Linked DNA regions of Arabidopsis thaliana. The protein of the gene in region 2 purifies or fractionates together with the protein of the main gene of each other region. This does not show direct contact. Each region holds a gene or a part of one and is shown on either strand. Other genes may lie near its edges.

The links.
Region 1: the proteins of AT1G25260 (region 2) and AT2G42650 fractionate together in Arabidopsis thaliana (co-fractionation; one large-scale study listed by BioGRID). This does not show direct contact.

The regions. Positions count from the first base shown.
Region 1 is NC_003071.7:17,763,362-17,767,388, forward strand, and holds AT2G42650 (Ribosomal protein L1p/L10e family), read left to right. Parts: upstream 1-1,816; 5' UTR 1,817-2,168; coding exon 2,169-3,287; 3' UTR 3,288-3,527; downstream 3,528-4,027. Other genes in the region: AT2G42640 (Mitogen activated protein kinase kinase kinase-like protein), read right to left, coding at 28-56, 280-347; AT2G42660 (Homeodomain-like superfamily protein), read right to left, coding at 3,704-3,886, 3,978-4,027.
Region 2 is NC_003070.9:8,853,004-8,857,453, reverse strand, and holds AT1G25260 (Ribosomal protein L10 family protein), read left to right. Parts: upstream 1-1,579; 5' UTR 1,580-1,687; coding exon 1,688-1,715; intron 1,716-1,967; coding exon 1,968-2,133; intron 2,134-2,211; coding exon 2,212-2,302; intron 2,303-2,395; coding exon 2,396-2,454; intron 2,455-2,589; coding exon 2,590-2,650; intron 2,651-2,807; coding exon 2,808-2,898; intron 2,899-2,998; coding exon 2,999-3,075; intron 3,076-3,156; coding exon 3,157-3,291; 3' UTR 3,292-3,920; downstream 3,921-4,450.

The DNA.
Region 1 (4,027 bases), on a different chromosome or scaffold from region 2:
AAATATTAAGAATCAAACTTCGCTTACCAGTAGCTTGGACCTCTAGGTCAGCTAACCTACATAGGCAAAAGCAGAATGGTTAAGTAAATATAGACTCGGATATACTGTTGCAGAAATAAATGTTTCAGTGACATACTAAGTTGCATTCCATATATTCCTTATCAAAGCATTTAACTAGTAGACAATTCTCAAAGACTGGCTACAAAACTTATTCAAAGTGTTGGACTTTTCGATACTTATAGAAGAGATTCACTTCAATAATTCAGCCTCAGAACTTACGACAAGATCACGGAACCATTTGATTCCACCACTGATCCTCGGTGACCTCTGCAACACTTAGCTCCCATTTTCAAGTCCTCGGTTGCAAAATTTCAAATTCCTGCATAGATTTCAAAACCCATTTCAAAATAAAATCCCACCAACTTCGATGGATTCAAACACACAAGAACCCATAAACCAAACGGTCTAAAATCATATAAGAAAAGGCTAAAGAGCAAAAGAAGAATAAGGGTTTATGAAAAAACTCACAGAAAGCAGATAAACGTCCTTCCAATTCCAAAATCCAGCAATCAATCTGCTTAAATCGCACTGCGAAACAAGAGAAAGACAGAAGAGAGATCTGAAGATTGCCATGATCAAGCAACAAAGAGCTAAACGTACACACATATAGAGTATGTGTACGTATATGCATAGAGATTTGCAACAGAGATTCATGAGATAAAAATTGGATTTTGGAGGTTTTGAAAGTTTTGATTTTGATGGCGGAAGAAGCAAAAACACAGTCAAGGGGTTTTACGAAAGTGACGAAGCAAGTCACGTGCGAGGGATTATGAGTCACGTGCCGAGAAGCACTTATTCACAGGATATATTTCATAAGTACAATTTTGTCCTCTACCTACATGGATTGTTTTTGTCATCCATTTCTATCTCAAAGATCTTCGAAACAAGATACATATTTGATAGTCATTACACTATGAATGACAATATATTATCAGATTGTTCATGCATATGAGATAGATTTCTTAAAAGAGGATGATGTAAATGAACAAGAATCTAACAAGAGTTTGATGAAAAATGAGGATGAACTTTTTTTGAAAAGAGTATAATAGAAAATCAACGAATGTATTCAATCTTCGAAAAAGATTGCAATAAGAATGACTCAAGAGAATTCATCCTACTTCAATATTGATGTTGATTATGATACTTACACGTCAACAACAACAGATCATCAAAGTGTTTGGCAGTGCGGCTATTTCTTTGTTTGTCAAAAACCTGACATTTCTATCATTTCATGTATTCTCTCAATGAACTCAATAAGATATCACACATTTTGGTTTATAAAGAAATCCCTCCATTTATATAGTACTTACATAAAGAAAAGTGTTTGAGAATTTTGTTTTGGTTATCTAAATATTGACATTTTCAATTAATGTGATTCTCACTTTTTTCTTAAAGAAATATTTATTTTTAAAGTTTGAAGAGCTATAAGAGGAATTAGACATTTTGCGAAGGGAATAAAAACTTGAAAATAAAGAAAACAATTTTATTAATAATTATATTGTCCAGGTGTATATACTTTATTTCTTTGTATATAAAAATTAGCATCAAATATATTTGGTAAGTACGTTTTAGACAAGTATGGTAAATGACAGCCAAGTACTACATGACTCATATTTTATATAATTAATTTCATATTTTAAATTTATATCTATATCTACATTAACATGAAATAAAAAAGATTTCATGTATTGATAAAATAAGCTAGTTTGTCATAATTTCCTATATCTTAAATCTTACCAATTACCATCTTCTAAAAGTTTCTCTTACCACACAAAAAAAAAATCTTCAAAACATTTCTCCTATGCAAAACTTGAGGACAATTTATAAAACAACATAGTTAAGCCCATTAACTAATATTATGGGCCTTAAGAAACGCAAAACAAACTCGTTTAATAGAAAAGATTTCTCCGATGCAAAAACTTGAGGACAATTTATGAAAACAATATAATTAAGCCCATTAACCAATATTATGGGCCTTAAGAAACCCAAAACAAACTCGTTTAAAAGTCATCGTCCTCCGTAAACCCTGAATCTTCCTTCACAGAACCCTAAATAACTTTTCTTTTCCTCCGACCACCGCAGCTCAGCCGCAACCGCCGCCACCACTTATGTCAAGAGTAAGTCCCAAGACTGTGGACGATGCAGTTAAGGCTCTGGTCAAAGAGGGAAACGAAAAATCAAGGACGGAGAAGCCACAGCTTCTAGAAGAAGACGGATTCTTTTACCTAGTCGTAGCCCTAAAGAAGATTCCACAGAGGAATTTTACGAACGCTTATCGTATTCCTCTCCCGCATCCGCTAATTAACACTACCGAAGACTCACCGGAGCTCTGTCTCATCATCGACGACAGACCTGAAAGTGGTCTCACCGAGGAAGATGCGAAGAAGAATATCAAATCAGAGAACATACCAATCACGAAAGTTGTTAAGCTTTCGAAGCTGAAATCGGATTATGGATCATTCGAATCGAAACGGAAGCTTTGTGATTCATACGATATGTTTTTCTCAGATCGGAGAGTGATTCCTATGTTGCCAAAATTGATTGGGAAGAAGTTCTTTCAGAGCAAGAAGACTCCTGTGGCTATTGATTTGAAGCATATGAATTGGAAAGAGCAGATTGAGAAAGCTTGTGGTGCTGCTATGTTCTTCATGAGGACTGGGTCTTGTAGTGCGATCAAAGTTGCGAAATTGTCCATGGAAAGCGATGATATCGTTGAGAATGTGACGGCGACTTTGAATGGTGTTGTTGATGTTTTGCCTAGTAGGTGGAAATACATAAGATCTTTGCATTTGAAGTTATCTGAGAGTTTATCTTTGCCATTATATCAGACAGTGCCTTATTTGCAGCTCAAGATTGATCCTTTAGGTGTTGAAGAAGTTAAGAATGGTGAAGGATTAGCTAAAAGTGATGTTGATGATAGTAGTAGTAAGAGTGTGAAGACAAAGAAGAAGAATGGAAAGATTCATGAGGTTAGATATATGGATAGTAATGTATCTGAGACTCTTGGTGATGATGAATTCGATAGGAGTGTTGGAGAAGATGAGGTTGCTGATGATCTCAATGCTTCTGGAGATAAGAAGAAGAGGAAGAAGATGAGTAGTAGTAAGTCTGCAGTGAGTGGGAAACCAGACATTGTGAAGAGTAAGAATGGGCAAAAGTCGAAAAAGCTAAAGAAGGACATTGATGAGTCTGGTGGTGGATTCAAAGCTAAGACTAAGAGGAGGTGAACCAAGAAAAGAAGATTTTATATTAATGTCGTTATAACTAAGTATTCTATTCTTTCTGCTTGAGTGATTTTTTTGGATACTGATTATGACTTTGTCTTATTATGGTATCATCATCATGATTCTTATATATTTAGGACTTTTATTATCGTTTACTATTTCATCAAACTAGTGACTTGCCATGTAGTTGATTTGGTGGTTTTGACGAGGAAACATATTATTACATGTGTTTTGTTGCATTCCAGAATTGGTGTTGTATTGAATGCAGAGAAACCGCTAAGGATAAGTACTTGCAGGATCTGACTCAAGCCTGATCCAGATCCTGGCTAAGTACTCATCCCATGAAACGGCTAAGGAAAACAAAAGTCTCTACTCTTGAATCTCTTTTAAAGTTAAACTTCATCTCTCTAGTATGTTGGTTACGGTTCTGATGATGTCGACAACAGAGAGAGCGAGAGCATTGTGTTGATATCATCTGTTGGTTTTTGCCTGCAATTTCCAAACTCAGGCAACTGTATCCCACCTCCGGACATTGATTTCAATCGTTTGACTGATGATACTTCTTCATCTCGGACTCTTTTCTCATTGTTCTTCTTCCTAATCTGCATAAGATTTCACCAAGATTACAGTACCTTCCTCGGTTTTTAACAAAACTGTTCCTCTATAACTCTTAAAACGAAAGTAGGTAGTTACCTCGAGTAGAGGCAGAGTCTTGTTCTCTGTGCTGTCTCGGTCATTTCTGC
Region 2 (4,450 bases):
GTTTGGAAGGATTAACCTTCTTGTAGACAAAAGAAAAGAAAAACAAAAGAGTTTATGTGTTGAAATGTATATTCATGATCAAAGGGAAAACAGAATACAAAGTGAAGACGTAATGCAAAAATAAGACGAAACTGTTTATTGTCGTTCTATGAAAGGAGCTCCACAAGCTTTCAAGAGCGTTTCACTGCAAAAGAATCTTTTTTTTTTGCAAAAGCATTTGTTATAACATGACAAGAAAACTATTATACATTTACATCGATGCCACACATTCTTATACGAACGGTAATGCGTTTTACTATATGAGCCAAAATGACAATGCAGAAACATGCTCGGTGCTATTAACATTTATTAAAACATAATTGTGAAGTTAAACAAGATATAAATAAAAGTAACATATTAGGTTGACGTTGACACGTGCTAAGCATGCTTTGTGGCTTTTCCGCGATGGCTTTGCCACACACAAGAACTCCAAAAGAAAGAAAAAGGCTCGTATATCATTATTGTCAGTAAGCAACATGCGTACGTAAAGCCAAATACACTTGGTAAAGATCCAAATGTGGAAGTTTTGGGCTTGGATTCTCTTTCCATTCTTCTGCTCTCTTTCATGTGACTTGCATAAAGATGATACGACCAAAAGTGAAAACCAAGTATCAATTCATACATACATATTATAAGAATGAGAAAGAAAAAAAGTTATATTCATACTGACCCAATTAAAATTTCACACACAAAAAAACCTCTAGAGAACGTTATGATACCCCAATTGAATGTCATATATTTTCCATCATTTTCTTTTATGCCATAGATCGAGCCACTATCAATACCACTAGCTATAACAATCTCGAGCGATTTTTGTGTGTTTTTTTAATTCCCCCGACGGAACTAATTCCACTCATCTCTTGATCTTTTCGCCATATAGCACGACATATATATAGCCCACATACAATCAATATTGCTCCTAGTAAAAATAAAAATAAATATATTGCTTCAAGTACACTTCAATTTGAAAACAATAATATAGTGTATGCTTATAAATATTATCAAATCTTAATAAATAAATTGTCTTTTACCTTCCCAAATAAACTTCTCGTCCAAGAACAAAACACAAGCCACGGCGACTACTACGAGCATGAGAAGGGTTGAGGACTTCTACAAATGAGTGGACCCATCCCCTTAGTCTCGAACAAATTGCCAGTAGTGAGATCACTACTCACTACTAATGGTTGTTCCTATTGTTCCCTATACGTTTACATTGTTTAATTTCCGAGCATTCATATAAATAATTTATAATTCATTATTAAGAGGTTTAATAATATGATTTTGAAAGTACCACTTTTTAATTAATTTTTATAACATTAAATTTAAAACTTTAATTTCTTAACTTAAAAACTTTTGCACAACAAAACAAAAAAAACTAAAAACACTATAATCCATTTAAATTTAAACTAGTACACCCTCCAATGACAAAAAAAAATCGGCCCAGATTTCTGATAGCTAAAAGGCCTGAAACGGGCCGGATCCGGATCGGGTTGAATTAGGGGTCCAGATTAAAAAGTGCGAATTAAAGCAAACAAGGGAACAAGGGTTTCAGTTTCCCTGAAGAAAATTGAAAGGAGCTTAATAAACAGAAGCCGTTCTCCTTCACTTTCGTTCCTCTCACTTCCATACAACATTTGAAACCTCAGCTATGCCTAAATCAAAGCGAGATAGACCAGGTTAGAACTCTTCTTCCTTCACTCTTTCTGCTCTCTATTGTCTGAACCATTGTATCTCTGTCACTGGTTTTGGAAGCTGTAACTTTTGTAGCCGCCGTCAAGGGTTTTAGGGTTTTGTTAGGTTTTTAGAGGAACCCTTTTGAAAAAAACTTTAACTTGTTGGAGTTAGTAATGTTTTTTCATAGCTTCTATGGTTGAATCGATTGATGAATGGTTTATCTAAGGGTTTTGTTTTCTGATTTTTTGCTGCAGTGACTTTGTCTAAGACGAAGAAGAAAGGAAGAGAGCATAAGGAGTGTATTGTGAATGGAATTAGGGAGGCTGTTGAAAAATATTCCTCTGTCTATGTTTTCTCTTTTGAAAACATGAGAAATATCAAATTCAAGGAGTTTAGGCAGCAGTTTAGGCACAATGGAAAGTTAGTTTCTTTGTCCTTCTTCTGGTTGATGTTAGAATTACTTGAATGTTATGACTGACTCGGTTCTTATTTGTCTAGGTTCTTCCTAGGTTCGAACAAAGTGATGCAGGTTGCTCTTGGTCGTTCTGCAGAAGATGAACTCCGTTCTGGTATCTACAAAGTCTCCAAGGTTTGTGTATTCTGCTTCTTACAATGGTTCTTTTATGTTAAATGGTCATTTTTTGTCAGTTAGATTTACATATGTTGTGGAATGTTGTTTCAGCTGCTTCGTGGTGATACTGGACTTCTTGTTACTGATATGCCAAAGGAAGAAGTCGAAAGGTATCTATCTATGTATCTCTTGACGTCCTCTTTTTTCCTCTTTTGCTTTGGTGAAACAACAGTGACGGGTTTGAATTGTATACATGTCTAGTTGTTGTAACTGTTCACAATACTTCTTCTGGTTGTGTATTGCAGCTTATTTAACGCTTATGAGGATTCCGACTTTTCAAGGACCGGAAGCATTGCAGTAGAAACGGTTTGTGAACAGAACTTGTGCCATCTCTATATACTGTTGTTTCTAGATAAATAAATAAGCTTGACTATGATCAGGCTCTGCTTCTCTTTGTTATTTAAAAAACTTTGTTTCGTTACTTTTATCTTAATTACTATATTGGTACCACCTAAATGATTAGGTTGAACTGAAGGAAGGTCCTCTAGAACAGTTCACACATGAGATGGAACCACTTCTTCGGAAGCTTGAAATGCCTGTACGACTAAACAAAGGTCTGTCGTCTCACCATCTTAATATTCCTCTTTCTCATACTCACTTTTGCTATCTATATTAATCCAAAAACTTATTTCTTCTTCTTATTTTAATATGTAGGTACTGTGGAGTTGGTCGCTGACTTTGTAGTTTGTGAAGAAGGAAAACAACTTTCGCCAAAATCAGCCCACATTTTGGTAATAAGACTTCTGTATACCAAAACCCTTTCCTTTTAATTTGTATGCTTTATTTCTTATACTTGTTTGTTTACTTTGCAGCGTCTATTGCGAATGAAGATGGCTACTTTCAAGCTGAACTTGCTCTGCAGATGGAGCCCTAGTGACTTTGAGCTTTACAGAGAAGATCTGTCAGAGCTTTACCGAGAAGATCTCTCAGACGTTGAAACCTCTTAGGAAGCCAAGATTTTGACTCCACCCTTTAAATTTTTCTTAATATCATCACTATCACATGGATTTTATATTGTGGCACATGGTTTGCATTCAAATGTTTTAAGTCAAAGTTTTGCTTGCTTTACATGTTTTGTAGAATATCAACTTATCTTCAAGAACCCCCTATCCTAATATTGGCAAATCAATCTTGAAAACCTTGTTTTTCTTATTCAGCCACATTATGGAATTTCTTACTCAATTTGCTTACTTTTTACAGATTTATAGATGGTGTTGGGACCGAATTAATTGGCATGCGTATGATAATTTAAAGCAAGTTTTTCTTCTTGTCTTTAAAATTATTGTGGTCCATGGGCTTGAGAGCAGTCCAACAACGTTCACACGTCGTCCATCTCTTTTGATAATTTCTTGTTTTTTGTTTTTTTGTTTGTTTTTTAGCAATCCGAAACTATTGCGTTTGACTAGGTGAGCTTAGAGTTGTGATGTTAGGGATAGAAGCAGTTTTCTACGAAAGGGGTTGAAGATACTATGAGGCGAATGCGGTTGAACAAAATAGAACCCACCGGAGATTTTGGTAAAAGATTAAACGGAAAGGCGATACTTCCAACTCCGACGTAACAAATGTTTAGTTGTAGATTTTCAACATTTTATGAATTTTGATAACATATTTTTTAATTAAATTTTGGTTAACATATTTTTGTTATAAAAAAAAAATATATACATAAACTACGGGTTCTCTCATTTTAAACAAGTATAAGTATACTATTATGTCTTAATATATTTCCTTAACATTACATATATATATATATATATATATATATAAAATCGAAAATACGATATTCTCTCATTTAAATATACTCAATCAAATATCAACTTTCTGTTTCTTGTTTTCTATCCGCAGATAATGCGGGATAAATTGTTTCCTAATTCATGTATGGGACTTTTATTGGATTTACGGAGTTTGCCTATACAAATTTAGGTAAGTTAGATTGGAAAAACAAGTTCCATATACTTTATCCTTAATTTTTTTGCTTATTTCTTCTTTCCTAATGAACAAAAAGATTTTGTTAAAAAAAAAAATGTAAATCAAGGAGATCACGTATTGAGGTGAGATGAGAAAGAGAGAGTGTGTGGCTTTAAAGAAGGAATAGGATGGAGTAAGAAA